Linked DNA regions of Kluyveromyces lactis. The protein of the gene in region 5 interacts with the protein of the main gene of each other region in a pairwise test. Links are inferred from orthologs where the notes say so. Each region holds a gene or a part of one and is shown on either strand. Other genes may lie near its edges. The genes, in order: KLLA0_F03707g, NOG2, LYS9, PIH1, LSM8, PCF11 and MTR3.

Region 1 (2,647 bases), on a different chromosome or scaffold from region 5:
CAGTAGATCTTTTTGATACAATTGACAAAGTACTCAGTTCAAAAATTCAAACGACGGCTCAAGTGCTATCTAAGACCATCACATCCATTAGAAACTTCAACCTGTCATTAGATGATGCCATGGAAAATAGAAACTCGATACTCACTTTACAGAACTTAATGGAAGAATGTGAGATTGAAGGAAATACGAACACTCTTCGCAATTACCTATCTCAAAGGAAATTTTCCTCGTTGATCGATCAATTTTGGTCAAAAGTCACTAATAGTTTCAAAAGAGATTTCGAAATGTCCTACAATCGCGGTGGACCTGTCGGGAAATCTCTGCAAAGCAATTCCAATCTAATATATGAAGCCATTAGTAAATGCTTCGGTGAAAATGACCCTAGTAATGAACTACAAGGCGAACTGCAGTATATCTTGAAAGCCGTTAGTATATTAGATACAAACAGGAAATAAAAATCAGGCTTATATTTGTATATATAGAGTAACAAGACTGGTCCTTTATGGTTTAGCCTTCGCCTTACTTATAGCACCTGCATCTGCAAGGGGGTTCGTAGCCTTCTTTTTGTTTTTCTTTCCCCCACGCTTATGGAACTTCTTCTTTAGTAGCTTCTTTATCTCTGAATCTCTTTGCTTCCTCAGATCTTCTCTCTCTTTACCGTGTAATCTTGCCATTCTCTGCCTTTTACCTGGCCTTTTTCTCCGTAAATGCCTGATACGAACCTGCTCTGTGTGGACTTTACGATTATGCTCATCTACATCTATTACTTTTCCTCTGAACTGAAGCCATCCGGGATACGGTCCCAGCTCAGCATATTTTAATATTACATCTGCAGACACTGCGGCTGCAGAAAAGTTATGTCTGTCCTGCTCTGAATATTCTGCACAGTAATACGTTCTTGCTCTACCTATTGGAGCTGAGTCTGGACTCGGTTCACGAAGGCTGACCTTTATTAGGGCCGTTGCCTTTCTACCTCTGTTTTCATCTGTCTGTACACTTTCGCCAACATCATTCGCGGGGGTTGTTGAATCGGTAATGGTTCCAAAAGAGAATAGTGGGAATTCAAACTCTTCTGCGGAATTGTTAACATCCGATTCATCATTTCTGTCCGACTTTATATTGTCTTCTTGTTGAGTTTGAACGTCGACGAATTCTAGATCAAGCTTCGGCAGCACTACACGATCATCAGTCGCTGTAACGTTAGTCGTGGTATCAAAGAGCTCATTTCTCGAAACAACTCTCAAACCAGACATGATTGATTTGTTGAGCTTTGCAAGGTGTTCCTGAGATGATGATGAAAAGATACGCAGATTACATCTCATCTCCTCGTATCGTCATATTTTGACTAACTTTTTGATCTTATATATACATGTATATTTTTTTTAGCATATTGGCAATAGGTGTAAGATGACAGACAGTCGAAAGTAGCCACAGATAGTTTGTAATGACAAACATGTATTCTTATGTTATACATATCACTTGTGTAAGGTTGTGTGCAAAGTAAGATTTTGCTATTTCATGGTTTCAATATCTACATAAAAAATGGTATGTACGCAACTTGGAAGCACCTTTTAAACTTACTTCGAGATTCTTGTCTTCATGTTTTGTAAGAATTCTCTGTAGTTCCAGCTGTTTTGGACCTTATCTTCGACCAACTGAGATGCAGTCCATAATCTTAGAGAAGCAACTTCCCTGGCAGAAGGATGGTTCATTGGTTCACTTGGTGAGGCGCCTCTGACAATGTGCAAGGTTTTGTAGAAGATAACATCATCGTGTTCTCTTATCTTTGTAATAACATTCCTCACTCTTAGGTTGAACTCAGTAGCGTCTAATAGAGGTAGTTCATTTTTACCAATTGGAATTTCCATAATGTCCGGGGTTCCAAACACGTCTGTAACAAGCTCTGGGACAGCATCACCGCCAATCCATAAGAACATGTCCAATCCTGTGTCGATTAAATACAGACCGTATCTTTCCAATAAAGACGAGGTGGAGTTAATTGGTTGCGGTAGTACAATTTCACCAGTTTCTTCATCGGGAAGACCAGCTTCGTCAGGCATGTCATGTAAGGAGTATACTGTTGGATAAATGTTTTGAATCAAATATGGCAATGGTAACGTTTCAAGATTATTTAATGCTTGAGCTCTGTGATCAGCCGGAACAATACCAGAACGGAAAGCCATATGTTTAGTTAGAGAATGCATCAATAGAGGCCACATTCTTAGGTTACTACAGAGCATTAATGGAGCTCCGCCACCTGTGTTTGAAGTCAAAACTTCTTTCTTGTATGTAGCCAAAACCTCTTGGACAGATTTGTTGAAAAATTCTCTAGTGTCTTCAAAGCCAGAAGAAGGAGCTCTTTCCACAGCCTTTTGAGCGAAGTATGCTGTGATGGCCAACTGATCTGCAGAAGCATAGACTTCAGTTAGCTTATCAGTAGTTGGAATACCAATAGTTATGACTCTAATTCTTCTTTGGGCAGCATTGGATGTCAATAATAAAGCAATTTGAATGTACACAAAGTCCTTTGTTAATTGTTCATCGATACCAATTTCAAAAACGTATGATTGGTCCCTTGGAACCGTAGCCAAAGCGCACAAGTCTGAAGATCTATTGAAGAAATGACCGTAAAATCCGGTCATTTTCA
Region 2 (4,003 bases), on a different chromosome or scaffold from region 5:
GCTCCGAATTTGGCAATCCTCCGAGCTGACTATTAAGAGATTGCATTAAAATTCTATCGTACTTACTGGAGTAGTCCTAAATGACAACTCTTAAATCAGAATTGAATCGTATTCCAACCATATATGTCTCTGTCTCTTCCTTATCTAATGCTAAAGGCTTTCCTGTTTCGTTCCTCTTTGGCAGAAACAGAATTTTCGAGGGAAATGTCATTGTGTACGGTGTTGATATTACCACTGGCACCACTTCTCAATGGACAGTGGACCCGAATGGGTCCATTGTCCAGTGTTTCTGCCCCTGATCTGCATGCTTCACAACGTTCGGTGTTATCCAGCCTTTCTACTATTTATTTAATAAATTTCTATGTGCAAGACTTAGCCTAAGTCATCCGATTGATATTAATGTACAAAAACGATAGATCCGATAAGATTGTATATGGTGTGTCTATATATAAAGCGATGCCCGTGTCTGGAGAGAATTAAATATTGAGGAAGTGTTTGGTTTATTCCTTTTTGGCCTTTTTAGAAACAGGTTCTTCTTGTTCCTCTTGCTCCTTCTCTTCCTCTTCTTGATCTTCTTGATTTTCCTCTGCAGGACGTTTCTTATCACCAGGTTCCTTTTCCTCAATCTTGTCCTTCTCTGGTGGTGGTACGAACCATGGGATCTTACCTCTGTTGAAATCGTTCAAGATTTGTTTCGATACCCCGCTTTCATCTGGTTCACCACCTTTCAATAGTCTACCTTGCTTTCTTGCAATCATTTCGATGAAATCTACAGAGTCTTTCCATCCGGAGATCTCATAGGTTCTTTCCAAATGTTGTCTCTTACAACGTTTTAGAATACCTGGAATGTATTGTTCAGGATGCGAAACGTGTTCAACTCTTACCACACCTCTGAATAGAATATCCTCTTCACTGTCCTTGCTGGATGGCGGTACAATACCGGGACAATCGATTAAAAAGATTCTCTTCATCAAAGTTATGTATTGCCACACCTTAGTTTCACCAGGAATAGGTGCCACTTGACAGACCTTCTTTTTCCTTAGAGTGTTGATGATTGAGGATTTACCGGTGTTTGGATATCCAATGAACCCAACAGAGATTTGATGTCTGTCCTTATGCAGTTGTGAGAATTGACGTAGAAGTTGAATTAACGAACCCTTACCAAATGAATTGGTAATAGAGGCATGGAATGCCAATGTGGGACGTTCCTTCGATAGATGTTTTACCCATGCTGCCTGTTGAGAATCAAAAATAGGGAAAATCGTGTTAGTAAAATTGTAATCACATATGTGAATCAATAACCAATTATGCTTTCTACTGGGGGTTGACTCCATGCTGTATTGAGTATATTAGTGGTGATGTGAGGTTCTTTACTACGAGCCATGGCATAATAATTCTTTTCAGATCCAAAGCTCAACTCTTAAGTTCCTCCGTACCCGAAATAAAAGCGCTGATATATCCTCAAAACGAAGATTGTTCAACTAGGTTTCAACCATGACTCCATCAAAACGATGGATAGATCGAGGGTGGGTAGTATTGCTCTTCCAAAACTGTAACAGGCCCTTCTGTATGTGTAAGTTGTACTAGAATGTACGCAGAAACACCCTGACAAAGAATTTTGGTATTCTCAAGATACTGTGGTATTCACTCCCAGTTAGAAAGTATAATCGGTTAGTAGTAATCACTGAAGATTAAAAAGAAAGTTTAAAACATACGGCAACCCATGTAGGAACAAGATCACACTTGTTCAAGACGTATATCAAATGTTTATGAGGAGTCTCATTGGTCATGTAATCAGTCACCGATTTACAACGAGTCCCCAAAGGATCTCTAGCATCCAATACGTGGATGACGACATCGGAGGAATCGATAACCTTGTACAATTCGTTCCAAATACGTTTCGACTGACCTTTGTGGAAAATGGCTTCCTTTGCTGCCTGCGTCCAACCGTCTTCTTCCTCTTGCTTACCCATAAGCCCCAGAGTAGAATCCAATTCTTGCTTTTCTTCAAAAGTCTTATTATCGGTAGAAGTACTTGAAATCAACTCTTCCAACGACGACGCAGCGATTCTTGGTTTCTTCCTCTGAGCCTTAGGCCCAAAAGTTTGTTCAAAGGGCTCTGTCTCCAAAATCTTTGCCGTTGGAGATTCAGCGGAATCCTTTTCGTTCAACAACGACATCGGAAGTTTATTTCTTCTCAATAGCACCTGATAAGAATCACGCTTGTTCTCGCCCAAAGCTTCTCTGAAATGGCTCAATGAATCCTGAGAAATAACTCTGGTATTACCAAACCATCTACGGTCAGGAGCCACTCTTGCTGTTGGAGCAGCAGTATCCTGCAACGGAGCAGCCTTGATAATGTCACCCTTTGCATTACGAACAGATCTACCACCTTTGTACATGTTCAAAAACTGCACTCTCTTGGTGTCCCTGTAGAAATTCTCACCCTTCACACGAAGGTTACCATCCTTGGTATTACCTTCGCGGATTCTCCTTTGCTTTTCCTTCTTACCGGTACCCATTGTGCCTTGGTATAGATTTCAATTAGGTTTCCTTTGGTTCGTTCGTTTGTTCGTTCTTTGTGGTAACGAACACGTTCAATTTCGATCGAAAACTCAAACAGATGGAAGAATAAGTAACTGAATGTCTCTTGCCTGGACTGAGATCAACCTGAATCGAAACAAACCACTGATGAACCTGCCTTTGTTCCTGTTCCAATTCATGAGATGAGATGAGATGAGCTGGAAAATTTTTTCTTTTCACTTTTTCTTACACTATGGGAATGAAAAAGAAACCTGATCTTTGACCATGGGAATGGCAGGCGATGAGTTGTACTCTCTGTAGGGCTTTTGGCTTGGCTATATGCTTTATATATGTGTTATATAGTCATCTTAGAATAAACTATGCATGACATCGTTGAGTGCTTTCGATTGCGGTTGGGATTGTCTCTGAGAATCTGGAGCAGATGCTCTTGTCGAAGCGACTTTCCTCTGTTTGAAAGTCCTGCGAACTTCTTCATCGACCTGCTGTGATTCTTGTTGGTTACGTTTCTTGCTCTGTTTCATCTTGTTGACCATCTTTGATTTCTCTACGTTATGGATGAACTCTGCGTTCAACTTGTTGGCCTGTGAGATTTCCAATTGTAGCTTTGCTTGTCTGATATCGTTTTCTCTAGCGATTTGTTCTGTCAAATCGGCCCATTTGAACCCGGGCAAGTATTTAACGTTCATGACGTCGTCATGGTAGAAATTTCCCTTCTTACCACCGATAATATTACCGTTTAGAGTCGATGCGCACAGTTTAGCGTCCTTCTTTCTGATAAACTCGGCCCAACCTTCTTCAAACATCGTTTTCTTGTTCCCACCACTCTTGACACGCTGCTGGTGCTTGTGCTCCTCTTCACGTTTCAAGAACAGACGGTCCACTTCACCGAATCTTGTGAGAATCTGCCTTAGCTTGGCTGGTTTCATGTACGGTGGAACCCTCGATAGGTAAACCACACCGGTCTTGTGTTTCGTCTTCTTATCGCTCTTAAGCTTTTTGAGTCGTCTCTGCTTTTCTTTCTCTATCTGCTGTTCTGTGAGTTGTACTACCTTATCCTCCGGTTCTTCTTCATCCTGTACTTCCTCGTCCTCTTCCTCTTGCTCTTCCTCGTCCTCTTCTTGATCAAACTGAATCACATTCTTCTTCGCATCCTTCCCAGTGATCAACACTTGGTTGTCCTCTTCTTCGTCTGACGCAAAATCATCCACATCGCTGTACTCCTTGCTCATCGTGTTATTGTTGTCCTTAGTTAACCTGCTGAACCTTGTGGTCTGTTGTCTCTTCTCTCATGTATATGGTTCATCTCATCTCATCTCATCTCATCGCTTTAGTTCCAAATTTTTCAGTATGGCACTCACTGTACAGAAGAAATGGGAACCAATCGTACTGGACGACGGACCGATACCACAATGAAGTAACGGGTCTGTAGCCGGTGTTTGCAGCCTGTATGGCCGGAGAT
Region 3 (2,966 bases), on a different chromosome or scaffold from region 5:
AGAGGCATTGCCGAACTGGTTCAAGTTCCAAAGAGACATTTGGGATCAACAGCATGCCGTTGAAGAACACAATCACTACAAAGAGAGTATATTTATATGATGATGCTCTAAAGTAATAAAAAAAAAACAAACACAGACACACGGCTGGTTACTGTTTCTGGCCTTCAAAATAGAAAGGTTGTGAATAAGGTAAGAACGATTAAATTCTTGATCAACAAATCCACTCTGTGGCCAGCCTCCTAACGCTTACAGGACGCTTTCGCATCATGTTGGAAAGAATTAAGAGTCGATATATGGGATTCGTTTACCATGGCTATCTAGAATAATACGTCACAGACATGGAGATAAAGTCCCATGCTGTTTAAGAAACAGAAAGAATATGTATGTGTACAAATATGTAATGTTGTAAAGTGGTGATGAGATGAGATGGGATGCAATTCTGCTACGGACCTTTTTAAAGTGAAAAATTTTTGAAAAATTTTTGTATGGGCGATGAGATGAGCTTTGAGATAAATACACGAAGTGTGTTCATGCCCTAAGGGGGTATGCCAGTGGTGGTGGTGGTGGTAGTGGCCTACACGCCACTACCACCAACTTGATTTCCCCATACCTCAACGTAAATCACGTGCATACCAACGTACACTGACTATCCCATACATGTCTTCAAGTCTTTATCGGAACTCAGTTCCCTCCTCATCGAGCTTCATTCAGTTTGTAGAATGACTAATAGATGGTGGGTTGTCCCCAGACCAGTGGTCCCCCCGTCTGGCTGTCTGGCTGTCTAGCTTTGCCGTTTCGATTGTACCTCGGCTGTCGAAATTCCAATGGAATTTCGCAAAACACATTGGTGAACCGGAACCTGTAAAATTCCATCTCAATGGCACATCGCTCGAGATGGATAACGACAGAGAGCAGGAATAGTGAGTTTTTGATGAGCTGCTACTACTGGTACTACTCTTGTTGATTTGATGATTTACTGACTTTTGTAATATATATATATATATATATATAGTGACTATATAAGTTGAGGTAACAGAATTGCAACCTGCTATCTTTCCTGCCATAATAGACAGATCATCATCTCTTCAAGAAAATACTCTTTCTGTGATCGCAACCAACGTATTAACGATGTCTAAAGTTTTACTTCTTGGATCTGGTTTTGTTGCTCAACCTGTTGTCGACGTTTTGTCCGCTACTGATGGTATTTCAGTCACCGTCGCTTGTAGAACTTTGAACAAAGCTCAAGCTTTGGCCAAAGCTTCTGGTTCTAATGCCATCTCATTGGACGTTTCCGATCCAAAACAATTGGACGCTGCATTGGCTGACCACGATTTGGTGATCTCATTGATCCCATACACTTACCATCCAGCTGTGGTTCAATCTGCTATCAGATTGAAGAAGAACGTTGTTACCTCTTCATACATTTCCGATGCCTTAAGAGAATTGGAACCTGCTATCAAGGAAGCTGGTATCACCGTCATGAACGAAATTGGTTTGGACCCTGGTATCGACCATTTGTACGCTGTCAAGACCATTGACGAAGTGCACAAGGTTGGTGGTAAGATCAAGTCGTTTGTGTCGTACTGTGGTGGTCTACCAGCTCCAGAAGATTCTGACAATCCATTGGGTTACAAGTTCTCTTGGTCTTCAAGAGGTGTCTTGTTGGCATTGAGAAACAGTGCTAAGTACTGGAAAGATGGTAAGATCGAGACTGTGTCATCCGAAGATTTGATGGCCTCAGCTAAGCCTTACTTCATCTACCCAGGTTACTCTTTCGTATGTTACCCAAACAGAGATTCCACTTTGTTCAAAGAATTGTACCATATTCCAGAAGCTGATACCGTCATCAGAGGTACTCTAAGATATCAAGGTTTCCCAGAATTCGTGAAGGCTTTGGTCGATATCGGTATGCTAAAGGACGAACCAAACGAATTGTTTGCTTCTCCACAGCCTTGGAACAAGGCTCTTGCACAATACTTAGGTGCTGCTTCAGAAAAGAAAGAGGATCTAATTAAGGCCATCGATTCAAAGACACAATGGAAATCAGACGACGATAGAGAAAGAATCCTTTCTGGTCTTGCTTGGTTAGGTTTGTTCTCTGACAAGCCATTCAACGCTAGAGGTAATGTCTTGGACACCTTGTGTGCTACTCTAGAGGAATTGATGCAATACGAAGAAGGTGAAAGAGATTTAGTCGTCTTGCAACACAAGTTCGGTATCGAATGGGCCGACGGAACGACTGAAACTAGAACCTCTACTCTAGTGGACTACGGTAAGGTCGGTGGATACTCCTCAATGGCTGCTACTGTCGGTTACCCAGTCGCCATCGCTACTAAATTCGTCTTGGACGGTACCATCAAGGGCCCAGGTTTGGTTGCTCCATACTCTCCAGCTATCAACGATCCTATCATGAAGGAACTAAAGGAGAAATACGGTATTTACCTAAAAGAGAAAACCATTGCTTGAAGCACTCATATACGTTGGTTTGAAATCTAAAGAATGCTCTCTCTGGTAGTGAATTGCATGATTCTTTTTCCCATCTTCTATATATATTAACGTGTACGTATGTATATCAACAAAGTAGCTATATTGCTTTAAATCCCGTTATCTTTGGAGTTACTATTTGTGGCACGTATCGTACTGGTGGGTGTTGTCTATAGTGTGTTATTGGAGTGTTCTTTTTGTATCAGTTACAGTTTGGCATCTCTTCTCATATAATTATAATTAGTTACATATTATAATACTCTCAACAACTACTTGTAAGAAAACATACAGGACTAACAAGGATCAACTGAACGAAGCGAATCAGAACATTTGTCCATCGGTATACTTTACATATTCAGCAGTGAAACATCTTTGGAGCCGATCATGTCGAATAGCAATGGGTCCGGTAATCTGTGGAGCAAAGTGAAGTCAGGAACGAAATCGTTATCCTCATCCATTCAACATCTAGCAGTAAAAACTGA
Region 4 (2,785 bases), on a different chromosome or scaffold from region 5:
GCCAAATTCCACATAGGTTTCCAGCTGCAAAATAATCTTTTAAAGTGGAACATTGAAGAGAACATGGGATACCAACAAATCAGAGTTTCCTTTCTCCAAAATTTGCAATAAACCAGTAGCATTAAGGCCATAAACCAGTGCGATATGGCGATACCTAGAGGAGCACCAGCATATCCAATGTAACGAGTAAATGAATACACTAGAATAATATTAACTGGAACTGTAATCAACAAGGAGTATGTTCCTGCTTGGAAATGGCCCTGTGATTGAAGGAATCTCTTACCAGTTTCGAAAAAAATCAGCCCTGGCAACCCAAACGATATTATTCTCAAGAAAAGTTGTATCTCTGGGAGGATATCCTGTTCAGCAATCACATAACCTAACCATGAAGCACTGAACCACCATGATATAATCACAGGGAAAATACCTGTCATTATCATCGCTGCACAACGGAATGAATATAAACCAACTTTTGCATATTTCTTGGCACCATACGCTTGTGAGCAAAAGGTATCCAAAGAAGTGGCCATACCCTCCACAAATGCTAAACCAGTAATATTGTAAGTCATTACCGCCAAAGATGCGGAAGCTAAGGCATCACTTGATTTACAGACATGACCGATGACAAATAAAGAAATAATAGCCAAAGAGTATTCCATTAGAAAAGTTAATGTAATTAGAGCGGAGTTGCTTAAGATATAGGAGACTTCATTCCTAGAGCTTGTTGGGGCAGTAAGATCCTCTATGAAGTCTTCGTCAATAAAGTCATCGCGATCTGCATCTGGACTCATTAGTCGATATCGATTGTCTATGGCATCGCCAGAAGATGCAGATTCTCCATCACTTTCATATCTAGTATTGTCATTGATTGTATCGTATCGCGGTCTATCCATAGAGTCACAGAGATACTCACTCTCTTGATTCATGTCTAGTTGTTTCAACTAACCTGTAATGCCCTTCTTTATCTTAAAACCAGTTTGAATGTCCATTAACAGTGGAATGAAAAAAACTAATCTCCAGAATTAAAGGTATTAATACCCAAAATGTTGTATTGAGCCAGGCAGTATGGATTGAACGGCCACCGAGCACGTTCCGATGACACGAACCTTTTATTCGTCTTGGTGTACATATAATTGATCCTTATCTACGTTGAAAAAGCACTAGTTTTGATAATCGCTAATAAGAATTTGATTGTGAAATTCTATATTATCGCTTAGCAGATAACTGCGATAGGAACAAAAAAAACAAAAGAATAAGAAAGTACATACCGTCAATTAGGTGCAATGTCATTTCTTCTTCGACCATTGAATGATAGCAGCTCGAACAACTCCAACAACGTTATAAGAATAAGCCCAGAACCATGTTTTGTCGTAAAATCTAAGGTAATAAACCCTGGTACTACATCGCTATCAAGCAATGCAAAGATATTCATCAACATTTGCCATAATGACCAGATACCCTTACCTGAAATCGATTTCAACCCCGCCATAGTATATCCCCTAATAATCAACAACCAATGGGAAATACCAATCGTAACCTCCTCAATAAGGGAGGATGTTGACAAAAAGGGCAACGTCTGCTACGTGAGCGATTGTTGTATAAACACCAAATGCGTTTCATGGATCCAGCATGATTTACAACTAAGAGAAATCGTAGTTGAATGGTGCTTAGAATCCTGTGAATTGCGAGCGGAGCTCGAAATATCAAGGGATAATATAAGTTTCCCTAAGCTGAAGAAGAAAGGTGATACTATACCTGAACTAGAAATACTGCGAGAAGACCTAACAGAGAATTATGAAGAAACCATCAATGATTTGGTAAATAGGGAACAAAAAGAACCTGTTAGTATTATCGAAAAGAGGCGAGACTTTCTTGCAGAAGACGAACCTTCGACGGGTGAACTGCCGCCATTAATTCCTATCGACCAATCTTCCCGTAGAAAACCTTTAATAGAGGAAATCGAGGATCTTTCACTGCATGAAACCAAGAAACCCAAGGTTGAAGAAATACAAAAAAAAAGTATATCATATGAACTTAGTATGGGCAAACCCAAAGACACCTCAGAGTTTCTCTTAAAGATAGAAGTGACCTCGGAGCTTAACTCTAGTCTTGATTACAATATCAAATATGATGCTAAAAGTAATAAACTCATCATAAAGAATACTAATCTAGGTATTTATCCCGAGAAGAAACTCAAGGTTCCATTACCTGATATATTTAATAATCCTCCAAAATTAGAGTGTTTCTTTGTGAAGCCTGAGCGCAGATTAATAATATTTTTATAAAATCTCAATATGGCCGTATATATATATAAATTGATGCAAGATGTTCGATTATCTATATATGCTTTTATTAAAGGGCTACGTGTATGAGAGTTAAACGTAACATGTAAAGTATATTTTCATTCACTTTAGGTTAATGAGGAGGGAATGCTAAATTTTCCCTATGAGCTACGTATTCACTATCAGCATAGCCTAGAATATCTTCAATCTGATCACTTTGCAGACCTTTAATTTTTGATAACTCTGTGCTTGTATAGTTGCAACGAGCCCTACCTACTGTTTTCAGTGCAACGGATTTATCCAAATTTCCATCTGAATCCCTGACTCCCAATTTTATATCTATACATTCATGTTCATGGAAGCTCCCTTGGACTTCAATAACGCCTGCAGGTAACAAACCAGCTTTGTTTTTCCTCGTTAACGCTTCGTATGCACCAATGTCTATAATTACAGCGCCTTGACTGACGAGTCCATGAAGCATCCAGAATTGTCTGTTCTTCAAG
Region 5 (1,953 bases):
ATTGTTAAATACAATATACAGGACGATACTTATCAATGTGGTGCGCCTGGATTGAAACCCTCTGCGTGCACACCGTTATTCCTGGAGCTATTCAAGACGCTGGGTGCCTCGTGCGTCATACACACGCACTCTATCAATGCGGTGCTTTGTTCAATGATATATGAGAAGGAGTTTACCATCAAGGACATTGAACAAATCAAGGCGATACCCAAAGGTGACGGTACCAATTTGAGGAACGTTGATACCCTACGTATTCCAATCATCGATAACGCTCCAGAAGAACAGGATCTCATGCCAGCGTTGAAGCAAATGATTAAGGATTATCCAAATGCATGTGCGGTACTGGTGAAAAGACATGGACTCTTCGTTTGGGGCCCCACGCCAAAGAAAGCCAAGATATACATCGAGTCCATCGATTACCTCTTTGAAGTAGCTCTCAAAATGAAAGAACTCGGTCAATGAAAGGGAGACCAGCAGCTGTGTATAACATTATTTATATTTCATCTGTTAGCCCATCGCTCACTCCAAATGTCTATTTCTTCTTTAAACGGTAACTTATTCTTACACGCTGGGAACTTCTGAAGTTTTGCCAGTTCTTTTTCTTCTGGTATATCATCTATCAGCCCACATAATACCACTTCACTACTCCGTATAATGCATATCTTGCTGTCCTTTAAAAGAATCATGTTTCCCGCATGATCAAACCCTTTCATTTCACCATAGTATGTGTCTCCATCGACATTGACCAACATCACCTTCTTGTCCAAATAATCTTTCAATAGAGCACTCATTGTCCATTCACTGTTCTAGCAAACAAGGGGGCAGTTATGTGGATATCTTCGCTCCGATGGATCGTTATCTTTTCTTCGTTACTATTATAATTTGAAAGTAATGTTTTCTATTTGAAGATTCTCTATTATCAATAACAACAACATCTTCAACAAAGAAGAATCACACATCATAACAGAAGTATACAGGCTTCTACAGCAGTTATCTAGAGTTGTGTTGTGGCTAATATTGTTAGAAGCTCCGAATCACGGTTGAAATGGCGGAAGAGAATGAAAGTGAGACCGATTACGGGTCTTCTCCCTTTAAAAAGATTCCAGACGCCGACAAACAGATCTTAGAATGGACTAGTCGTCTAGAGTTGGAGACTGTGCAGTTGCGGGACACGTCTGAGAGTCTATTCAAGATTATCAAGGAGAACGTGGATGAATTGAGCCATTCGCGAAAGTTATTCCAAGCAGAACTTGACAGTAGAAAAGGTATGGTTTCTATGCACAATGAAAGGAATATCTACTTAGTATAAGGGCATTTACTTAGTTCTATCTACGTGGATTGGTCGTTGATTGATACCCTTTAGGAATGATTCTTTGTAAGAGTCACTACGGTCAGTTTTTACTAACTAGGAAAATAACGGATGAGACTCCGAGAAGTCGCCGTTATTTCTGTGTGTATTTAGATGGTAATCAAGAAACGGGAACGGAGATTGTCTCTGAAGTAAAGTCTCGTTTGGATCAATTAAAGGCATCAAGCGGTGAAAGTTTGCAACTTTTAGCGGATAATATTACGAAGCAGATGGATAAACGACATCGAGAATGGATGGACAGATTTACCATGAATGAAAATGTCATGTTCAATGTCGTGCAACAAATGCAAGACCTCACGGATGCCATCCAGACGTTGCATGAAGATATGAGGTTAGCTAGCAAGAGGCAGGCGTTGCTTGAGAAAAGATTGAGACATGAATCTATCGCTACGCCTGAATCTCAACACCTAAATCAAAACCAGACACAACGACTCAGGGTATTAATCCCCTGGGAAGAAGTTCAAGAGTGCGAAATGAAATGATTGACCACATTTCTGTCGGCATCGATGGCAATGGTAAGATTTGTTTTGCCGAACGCGGTGTTCGGGTCAATGAAGTTTTTATAATATAGTTCATAACAAGGC
Region 6 (3,710 bases), on a different chromosome or scaffold from region 5:
ACATGACAGCTAAAGTCAAGGATCTTGAAACAGCGTTGAGTCAGTCTAAAGAAAAAGTGGACCGTTACGAAGAATATTCGTCAAAATCCCAGAAAGTCGATAAACCTCGGCCTAACGGGGAGGATCCCGTCGCACTCAAAGAAACCATCGTTCGGTTACTGAAGGAACGCAAGAAACTTACCGCTATTTTGAAGAACCAAGCTGAGTCGAAGGAACGTGATCCGAATTAAAGCGTGTCGAGATAAAGAATTCCCGTAAGAAGAAAAACAAAATCCAAAGCACTTCTATGCAATAGATAGCCGTAATGAAATAGCATATGTTTTCTATAATGCAGTTGTAACATTTAGGAAGTATATATATATATAAATACCATATAGCACTATATTATATTCGTACTTCCATTTAGAACGAAATTTGTAGAAGAAAATGGTACGAAATTCATGCCGATAAGCCAACTAGAGTTCGAATATACAATTGATCAGCACTAGCTATTCATCAACTCATTGAAGCAGCTCGTTAAAAATACCAAGATCTAATTGAAGATTTTGGAATGATGGAGATGAGGAGGTGTTTGACTGTTGACTTTTAGCTGCCTCATAATAACAAGTGGCATGGAAGAATTTGTCTCCCACCTGTACGCAGTTGCTCCAAATCCATTCTCCCAGATCTTCATCATATTTACCATATGTGGATTCGGTACAAATAGGACACTGGAACTTCATATCTGTGGCATAATCCGGTACTACAATATATTTATTCCTGAGTTTAGTATAGATTGCATCAGTAGAATCTTCCCTGTTGTTCGCAAATGTAGGTTGCTGTTCAGCAGCTCCAGTATCAATATCTGTTGCAATGATGTCTTCTTCTTTAAAGTCTGCCCATTGATTTTCATCCAAATACCAATTCCTGGATTGAATGACCTTGGTAGATGTAGTGGTGTTGGACTGGATACCTTTAATCTTCTTGTTGACACGGAAATGCCAATCAAGATGTTGTATTTCCAACTCCTTTTCTTCAAGAGTATTACCAAATCTCTTACCACATATACTACATTTATTAGGTTTTGCCCGATATAAGAAATGTACCAACTTTTCCGTAATTGGATGGTTATCATTAAGAACAAACTGTTGAGAAAGCTGAAGGACAGATGCGTTCAAAATATCTAGGTTTTGCGTCTGGCGTTGCGCCTCTAGATCACCTAGAATATCCTGTAAAAGTGAATATGACGGTAGTTGCACTGTCTTGGAGGAATCAAATTCAGGTTCTAATTTGGCAGCTAAGGTAGTAATAGATGCTTCTCCAGGTTCATGCAAGAGCTCTTTTTCTCTCAACATGTTAACCAAACTAGAAAGCTTATTGAGACGGTTAGAGTTGGTCAGTTGGTTCAAAAATGGAGCATTAAATTGAAGGCTTCCTCCGAACATCGAGCCGTTGTTACCGTTCGCCTGGAGTGAGCCACGAGACATATCATTGTTTACAGAACCTTGAGATGATGGCGGCAGAAACTGAGAGTTATTTTGTAATGGCAACTGCTGCTGCTGCTGTTGTTGTTGTTGCTGTTGATGTTCTTGCGCAAAAATCTGTTTGAGCTGCTGATGAACTTGCGACAAAAACTCCGGTGCCAACCGTTCCTTCTGCAACTCTTGTCTCAACTGCTTCAATATCGCTACTTTTGCCTGCAACTTGGCGTCATCCGGTGTACTTACTAGCTTCGACTGCGTAATCAGCGCTAATTTATCAATATCCGACAGTAACGATTTCACAGTAATATTCGACCCAGCCGGTCCGTTGTGAGCGGTATGTTGTTGTATCGCCGGCGGAGTAGCACTTTTCTGATGCAACGCACTAGCCTTAATCAAAAAATTCTCGATGCTGTTCAAAGAACTATGATCGAACATCAAGTCTCCTGCAGGCAATGGCACCATCCACGTTTTGAACATTGAAATCATCTTGGTTCTAGTCTGATTATCCACAAGTAAATAAGTTTTACGGAACAATTTATGCAAATTCTTAGAGAAATAGATCGTATACGGAGAACCAGCGTTCTTACAGATAGAATCCATTACATAGAAAGTGAAAAGCTTCTGACTAGGAACACATTTCTCCAGTCTATTTTCAATCAAACCCACAAACTCTTGTGCTAAACTCATATGTTCCTCTGCTAACTGCGTCAAGGTAGTAATTATAGGCCGAGAGTTAAACGTAAGACCATCCAAAGTGGTCTTAAACTCCTCTAACGCATTAGAACCATCTTCAGAACTCATAGAGAAATCCCAACAAAACTCGGAAAAAAGTGTACCAAAATATAGCAAACAATTACTATTACCACAAACTAAGCCTCTGGATACTAGTAAGCGCTCAAATAATGAATCATACGGCCTCTATTCCTTGCCTCTGCTCATCGTCTTTAAAGGTTTCCTTATCCTAATCCTGCATCTTGTAACGTTTTGCTCGGTTGAAAGAAAAACCGAAAACATCACCAGATCCGGGTAACGAAACCACACTTTTTTCTTTTAAAAAAAACCTTTCGAGATATCGATCAAAGATTCTTTCAAGAATGAATCATCACTGTTTTTATCTATCTTGCCTTTACGTGCATCTGGCTCCTTTCTTTCTCGTGCGAAACTTTCAACAACGTTTATTAAGAGTAGAAGCAGGAATCTCACTAGGTGAAAAGGGTCTTTCTTTTAATTTCTTATCCATTTGAACTAAGAAGAGCTGGAAAAAAAGATGACTACCAACGATAAGAAACAATCGGGTTTGGCCCGTGTCTTAGGTTCAGCTTCTGCTGGTATCTTGGAAATTGGTGTTTTCCATCCTGTGGACACTATTTCCAAGAGATTGATGTCAAACCATACCAAGATTGCCTCGACCTCTCAATTGAACAGTGTTATTTTCCGTGACTTTGCATCTGAACCATTGGGTAGACGTTTGTTGTCTTTGTTCCCTGGTTTGGGGTACGCTGCTGCCTATAAGATCTTGCAACGTGTTTACAAGTACGGTGGTCAACCATTTGCCAATGAGTTTTTGAACAAGAACTTCAAGGGTGATTTCGATCAAGCTTTTGGTGAAAAGACCGGTAAAGCCTTGAGATCTGCTACTGCCGGTTCTTTGATCGGTATCGGTGAAATTGTGCTATTGCCATTGGATGTCTTGAAGATCAAGAGACAAACTAACCCAGAGTCTTTCAAGGGTAGAGGTTTCCTAAAGATCATCAAGGATGAAGGGTTTGGTTTGTACCGTGGTTGGGGTTGGACCGCTGCCAGAAACGCTCCAGGTTCTTTCGCTTTATTCGGTGGTAACGCCTTCGCCAAGGAATATATCTTGGGTTTGAAGGATTACGGTCAAGCTACTTGGAGTCAGAACTTCGTCTCTTCGATTGTTGGTGCTTCTGCTTCATTAATTGTCAGTGCACCATTGGATGTTATCAAGACCAGAATTCAAAATAGAAACTTTGATAACCCAGAGAGTGGTTTCAAAATTATCAAGAACACTTTGAAGAACGAAGGTTTCACTGCATTCTTCAAGGGTTTGACTCCTAAGCTACTGACCACCGGTCCAAAGTTAGTGTTCTCCTTCGCTCTGGCTCAAACTTTGATTCCAATCTTTGATAACTTGGTCTCTAAGAAATAAACCTTGGATTCAAATACAAATTCATGTAAATAATGTTATTAATTGCTACTATTCAATTCTTTTTTTCTATATGTATA
Region 7 (2,413 bases), on a different chromosome or scaffold from region 5:
TACATTAAGTTCAATATACTCGTTGTTCCCTATGTAAAGATGTATGTTGGCCTTATTCAACGGCTTTCTGCCTTGATGTTCTTGTTTTTACGATTCAATCTCTCTTAGATTGTTAGTTTTTGTTCAAGAAAAAAGATTGTAGGTTAACTGTCATTCATGATATTCTGTCCTACTGCAACTTGTTTGAATCAATGGACATTCCAAGTTATATGGTTAGACTTTGAGCAATATTCGCAGAGTAGTTTGATTTTAATCAGAGTCCTGGGCTATTGGTGGGGTGTAATATCAAAAATCTTTATAATTTCTGCCAGATGCCTGGAAGAAACGTTACACTAACAGAGTCGGTTTAATTCAAAAATGTACTTTGGTCATCCTTTTCTTCGGTGGTTCAACCAATGAACGAATGACTTGCCTTGATTCTTGAAACCTATGCATGAAAGAGCTTCTGGTGAGAGCATTAGCGAGGGTTCGGCTTTCGATCTGGTCCAAGTGAATAGCTTCTGACTTTGTCTTGATGATACACCCAGAAACGATACTGGCTTTTGTATGTACGACTGGCAAGGCGGGTTAGAGTGGGGTGTTTTAGTTGCCAAATCCCAGGTTGTGAGGGGGGGGTCTCCGTCTGCCCCTCCACCGGTTTGCGAAAACGGTCACCTGGCATGAACCGGAAACAAGTGCTGTTTGGAAACATATGAGAAACATATGAGAAACACCAGTTAGTCACGTGGTTATATAACTTCACAAAGCAGTTCTCTCCGTTTCCTTCTGACGTATGAGGTGATGAGCCGAAAGCTAGTACACGACTCTTTTTCAGAAATACGGATCTATTACTATTTACTGGTTTGACAATACCGGGCGACAGCCACTTCTTCTGTTTAGAAATCATTTCACACGTACTGATCGTCGGTTGATTTGTAAAAAAGTTCCAATGCTGCCTGCCGATAATTTGGAAACAAGTACGGTACGGAAACAAACGGGAAACAAATAGGAAACACATATATATTATCACGTGATGACGTTAGAATTTTTCCATCTCGACTATTTCAATCGTGGTATTCTGTTAGTGACCGTTTTGCAAGTGAATATACATGCGATGAGATGCTTCCAAGTTGACGTTGGCTAGTGCCATATCAGCATATATTTACTTGAGTTTGTTTCCCATCGTTATATTAAACTAATACCCACAGAAGAGAGGTCTATTAATGAGTGTGCAAGATAGAAGAAGAATATTAGGGCCAGCAGAAGCGAAGCCATTGCAGTTTGCTGCAATTACTCCTGTAAGAACCGTAGAGAACAGGGACGATGGTAATGGTAATAAATCGGGTAAGGAATCTGTGTTCATTAGTACGGATTTAGTAACGAATGCAAATGGTTCCTCATACCTAGAATATATGGATGGTACTTCGGATCAAGTTCTCGTAATGAGTTCTGTCTTCGGACCCAGGCCATTGCGAGGCTCCTTCCAATCTAAGGCATCAGTATCGATTCAGTTCAAAGAAGTTACGTTAGAACATTTGAATACCGGAGAAATTAAAGAAATTTGTACTTTCCTAACAAATGTCTTTAATGCGGTGATAAACGTTGAGAAGTATCCAAAATCTGGTATTGATATCTTTATAGATTTGATCCAGCATTCTAATAGTAATCCAACAGAGGAGGCAAATATCGTTAATATTCTACCCACATGCATTAATTCTATTACCATGGCTCTTGTAGACGCAGGTATTGAAATCATTGATTTAGTGAGTGCCGGGTCAAAAGATAACTCTGTGGTTGCGTTTATTAGGAATGGACATGAAATCGTCGGTATTTGGAGCGATGACGATAACGTCACTGACATATCAAAATTAATAGAAGAGTGCAAGGCAAAATATTTGGTAAATAAGCAGACTTTGGTTCAATATCTTAAATGAAATGAAATGGTTAACGTAATTTCATAGTGATTCATAATTAATGTGACACGAACGCTTCTTCTGTATTAGCAAAATAAAAATATACAAGGCTTTACCATTAAGGGTGAGGATTCGTTAGAAACATATCCTATTTATACATGGGTTGATACTTTAGATATAGTTAAGTACAATAGAATGCGATTTATTCCAAGTTATCTAACACTTGCTTGATTTGCCATACTTTTTTGGTGATAATATCGATATCAAAATTGGTACGTTTCATGTAAACAACGGAAACATCGGTGTCCATAGTAGACTTATACCAGTTTTGTAATGTTTTCCCAGTGAAATATTTGTTCCTATTCAAATCAAATTTATTATCATTGATTAGAACACCACATTGTTTCAAGAACTGCTTCGTGGTAGCAATTAATTGGTCCACGTCTTTTACAGTTTCTTTAAATTGAGGGAATAATAACTTGAAAGGTTTCGAGATCATAACAACATCGTGACTGTTAGCA

Evidence for each region.
Region 1: the proteins of LSM8 (region 5) and KLLA0_F03707g interact in a two-hybrid assay, tested with the Saccharomyces cerevisiae proteins (2 studies listed by BioGRID). The link is inferred for Kluyveromyces lactis from reciprocal best matches to the Saccharomyces cerevisiae genes LSM8 and YNL050C.
Region 2: the proteins of LSM8 (region 5) and NOG2 interact in a two-hybrid assay, tested with the Saccharomyces cerevisiae proteins (2 studies listed by BioGRID). The link is inferred for Kluyveromyces lactis from reciprocal best matches to the Saccharomyces cerevisiae genes LSM8 and NOG2.
Region 3: the proteins of LSM8 (region 5) and LYS9 interact in a two-hybrid assay, tested with the Saccharomyces cerevisiae proteins (2 studies listed by BioGRID). The link is inferred for Kluyveromyces lactis from reciprocal best matches to the Saccharomyces cerevisiae genes LSM8 and LYS9.
Region 4: the proteins of LSM8 (region 5) and PIH1 interact in a two-hybrid assay, tested with the Saccharomyces cerevisiae proteins (2 studies listed by BioGRID). The link is inferred for Kluyveromyces lactis from reciprocal best matches to the Saccharomyces cerevisiae genes LSM8 and PIH1.
Region 6: the proteins of LSM8 (region 5) and PCF11 interact in a two-hybrid assay, tested with the Saccharomyces cerevisiae proteins (2 studies listed by BioGRID). The link is inferred for Kluyveromyces lactis from reciprocal best matches to the Saccharomyces cerevisiae genes LSM8 and PCF11.
Region 7: the proteins of LSM8 (region 5) and MTR3 interact in a two-hybrid assay, tested with the Saccharomyces cerevisiae proteins (3 studies listed by BioGRID). The link is inferred for Kluyveromyces lactis from reciprocal best matches to the Saccharomyces cerevisiae genes LSM8 and MTR3.

Annotation. Positions count from the first base shown.
Region 1 is NC_006042.1:350,139-352,785, forward strand, and holds KLLA0_F03707g (uncharacterized protein), read right to left. Parts: upstream 1,323-2,647; coding exon 501-1,322; downstream 1-500. Other genes in the region: Golgi transport complex subunit COG5, read left to right, coding at 1-455; KLLA0_F03729g (uncharacterized protein), read right to left, coding at 1,578-2,647.
Region 2 is NC_006039.1:1,670,945-1,674,947, forward strand, and holds NOG2 (putative GTPase NOG2), read right to left. Parts: upstream 2,523-4,003; coding exon 1,716-2,522; intron 1,236-1,715; coding exon 501-1,235; downstream 1-500. Other genes in the region: CCR4-NOT core DEDD family RNase subunit POP2, read right to left, coding at 1-46; RNA-binding ATPase activator ESF2, read right to left, coding at 2,892-3,773. UniProt on the Saccharomyces cerevisiae protein: GTPase that associates with pre-60S ribosomal subunits in the nucleolus and is required for their nuclear export and maturation.
Region 3 is NC_006039.1:1,663,010-1,665,975, reverse strand, and holds LYS9 (saccharopine dehydrogenase (NADP+, L-glutamate-forming)), read left to right. Parts: upstream 1-1,128; coding exon 1,129-2,466; downstream 2,467-2,966. Other genes in the region: OCA4 (Oca4p), read left to right, coding at 1-100; KLLA0_C18755g (uncharacterized protein), read right to left, coding at 708-1,064; MSO1 (Mso1p), read left to right, coding at 2,869-2,966.
Region 4 is NC_006039.1:884,531-887,315, reverse strand, and holds PIH1 (Pih1p), read left to right. Parts: upstream 1-1,283; coding exon 1,284-2,285; downstream 2,286-2,785. Other genes in the region: ERC1 (Erc1p), read right to left, coding at 1-926; PRO1 (glutamate 5-kinase), read right to left, coding at 2,416-2,785. UniProt on the Saccharomyces cerevisiae protein: Involved in pre-rRNA processing and required for the NOP58-snoRNA interaction.
Region 5 is NC_006041.1:1,467,258-1,469,210, forward strand, and holds LSM8 (U4/U6-U5 snRNP complex subunit LSM8), read right to left. Parts: upstream 792-1,953; coding exon 501-791; downstream 1-500. Other genes in the region: methylthioribulose 1-phosphate dehydratase MDE1, read left to right, coding at 1-462; TDA10 (putative ATP-dependent kinase), read right to left, coding at 1,830-1,953. UniProt on the Saccharomyces cerevisiae protein: Component of the nuclear LSM2-LSM8 complex, which is involved in spliceosome assembly. The LSM2-LSM8 complex plays a role in the biogenesis of the spliceosomal U4/U6-U5 tri-snRNP complex by accelerating PRP24-mediated annealing of U4/U6 di-snRNA.
Region 6 is NC_006042.1:1,243,916-1,247,625, forward strand, and holds PCF11 (Pcf11p), read right to left. Parts: upstream 2,265-3,710; coding exon 501-2,264; downstream 1-500. Other genes in the region: KLLA0_F13420g (chromatin-silencing protein SIR4), read left to right, coding at 1-230; GGC1 (Ggc1p), read left to right, coding at 2,731-3,633. UniProt on the Saccharomyces cerevisiae protein: Component of the cleavage factor IA (CFIA) complex, which is involved in the endonucleolytic cleavage during polyadenylation-dependent pre-mRNA 3'-end formation and cooperates with cleavage factor NAB4/CFIB and the cleavage and polyadenylation factor (CPF) complex.
Region 7 is NC_006042.1:1,688,687-1,691,099, reverse strand, and holds MTR3 (exosome non-catalytic core subunit MTR3), read left to right. Parts: upstream 1-1,202; coding exon 1,203-1,913; downstream 1,914-2,413. Other genes in the region: CHO2 (phosphatidylethanolamine N-methyltransferase), read right to left, coding at 2,095-2,413.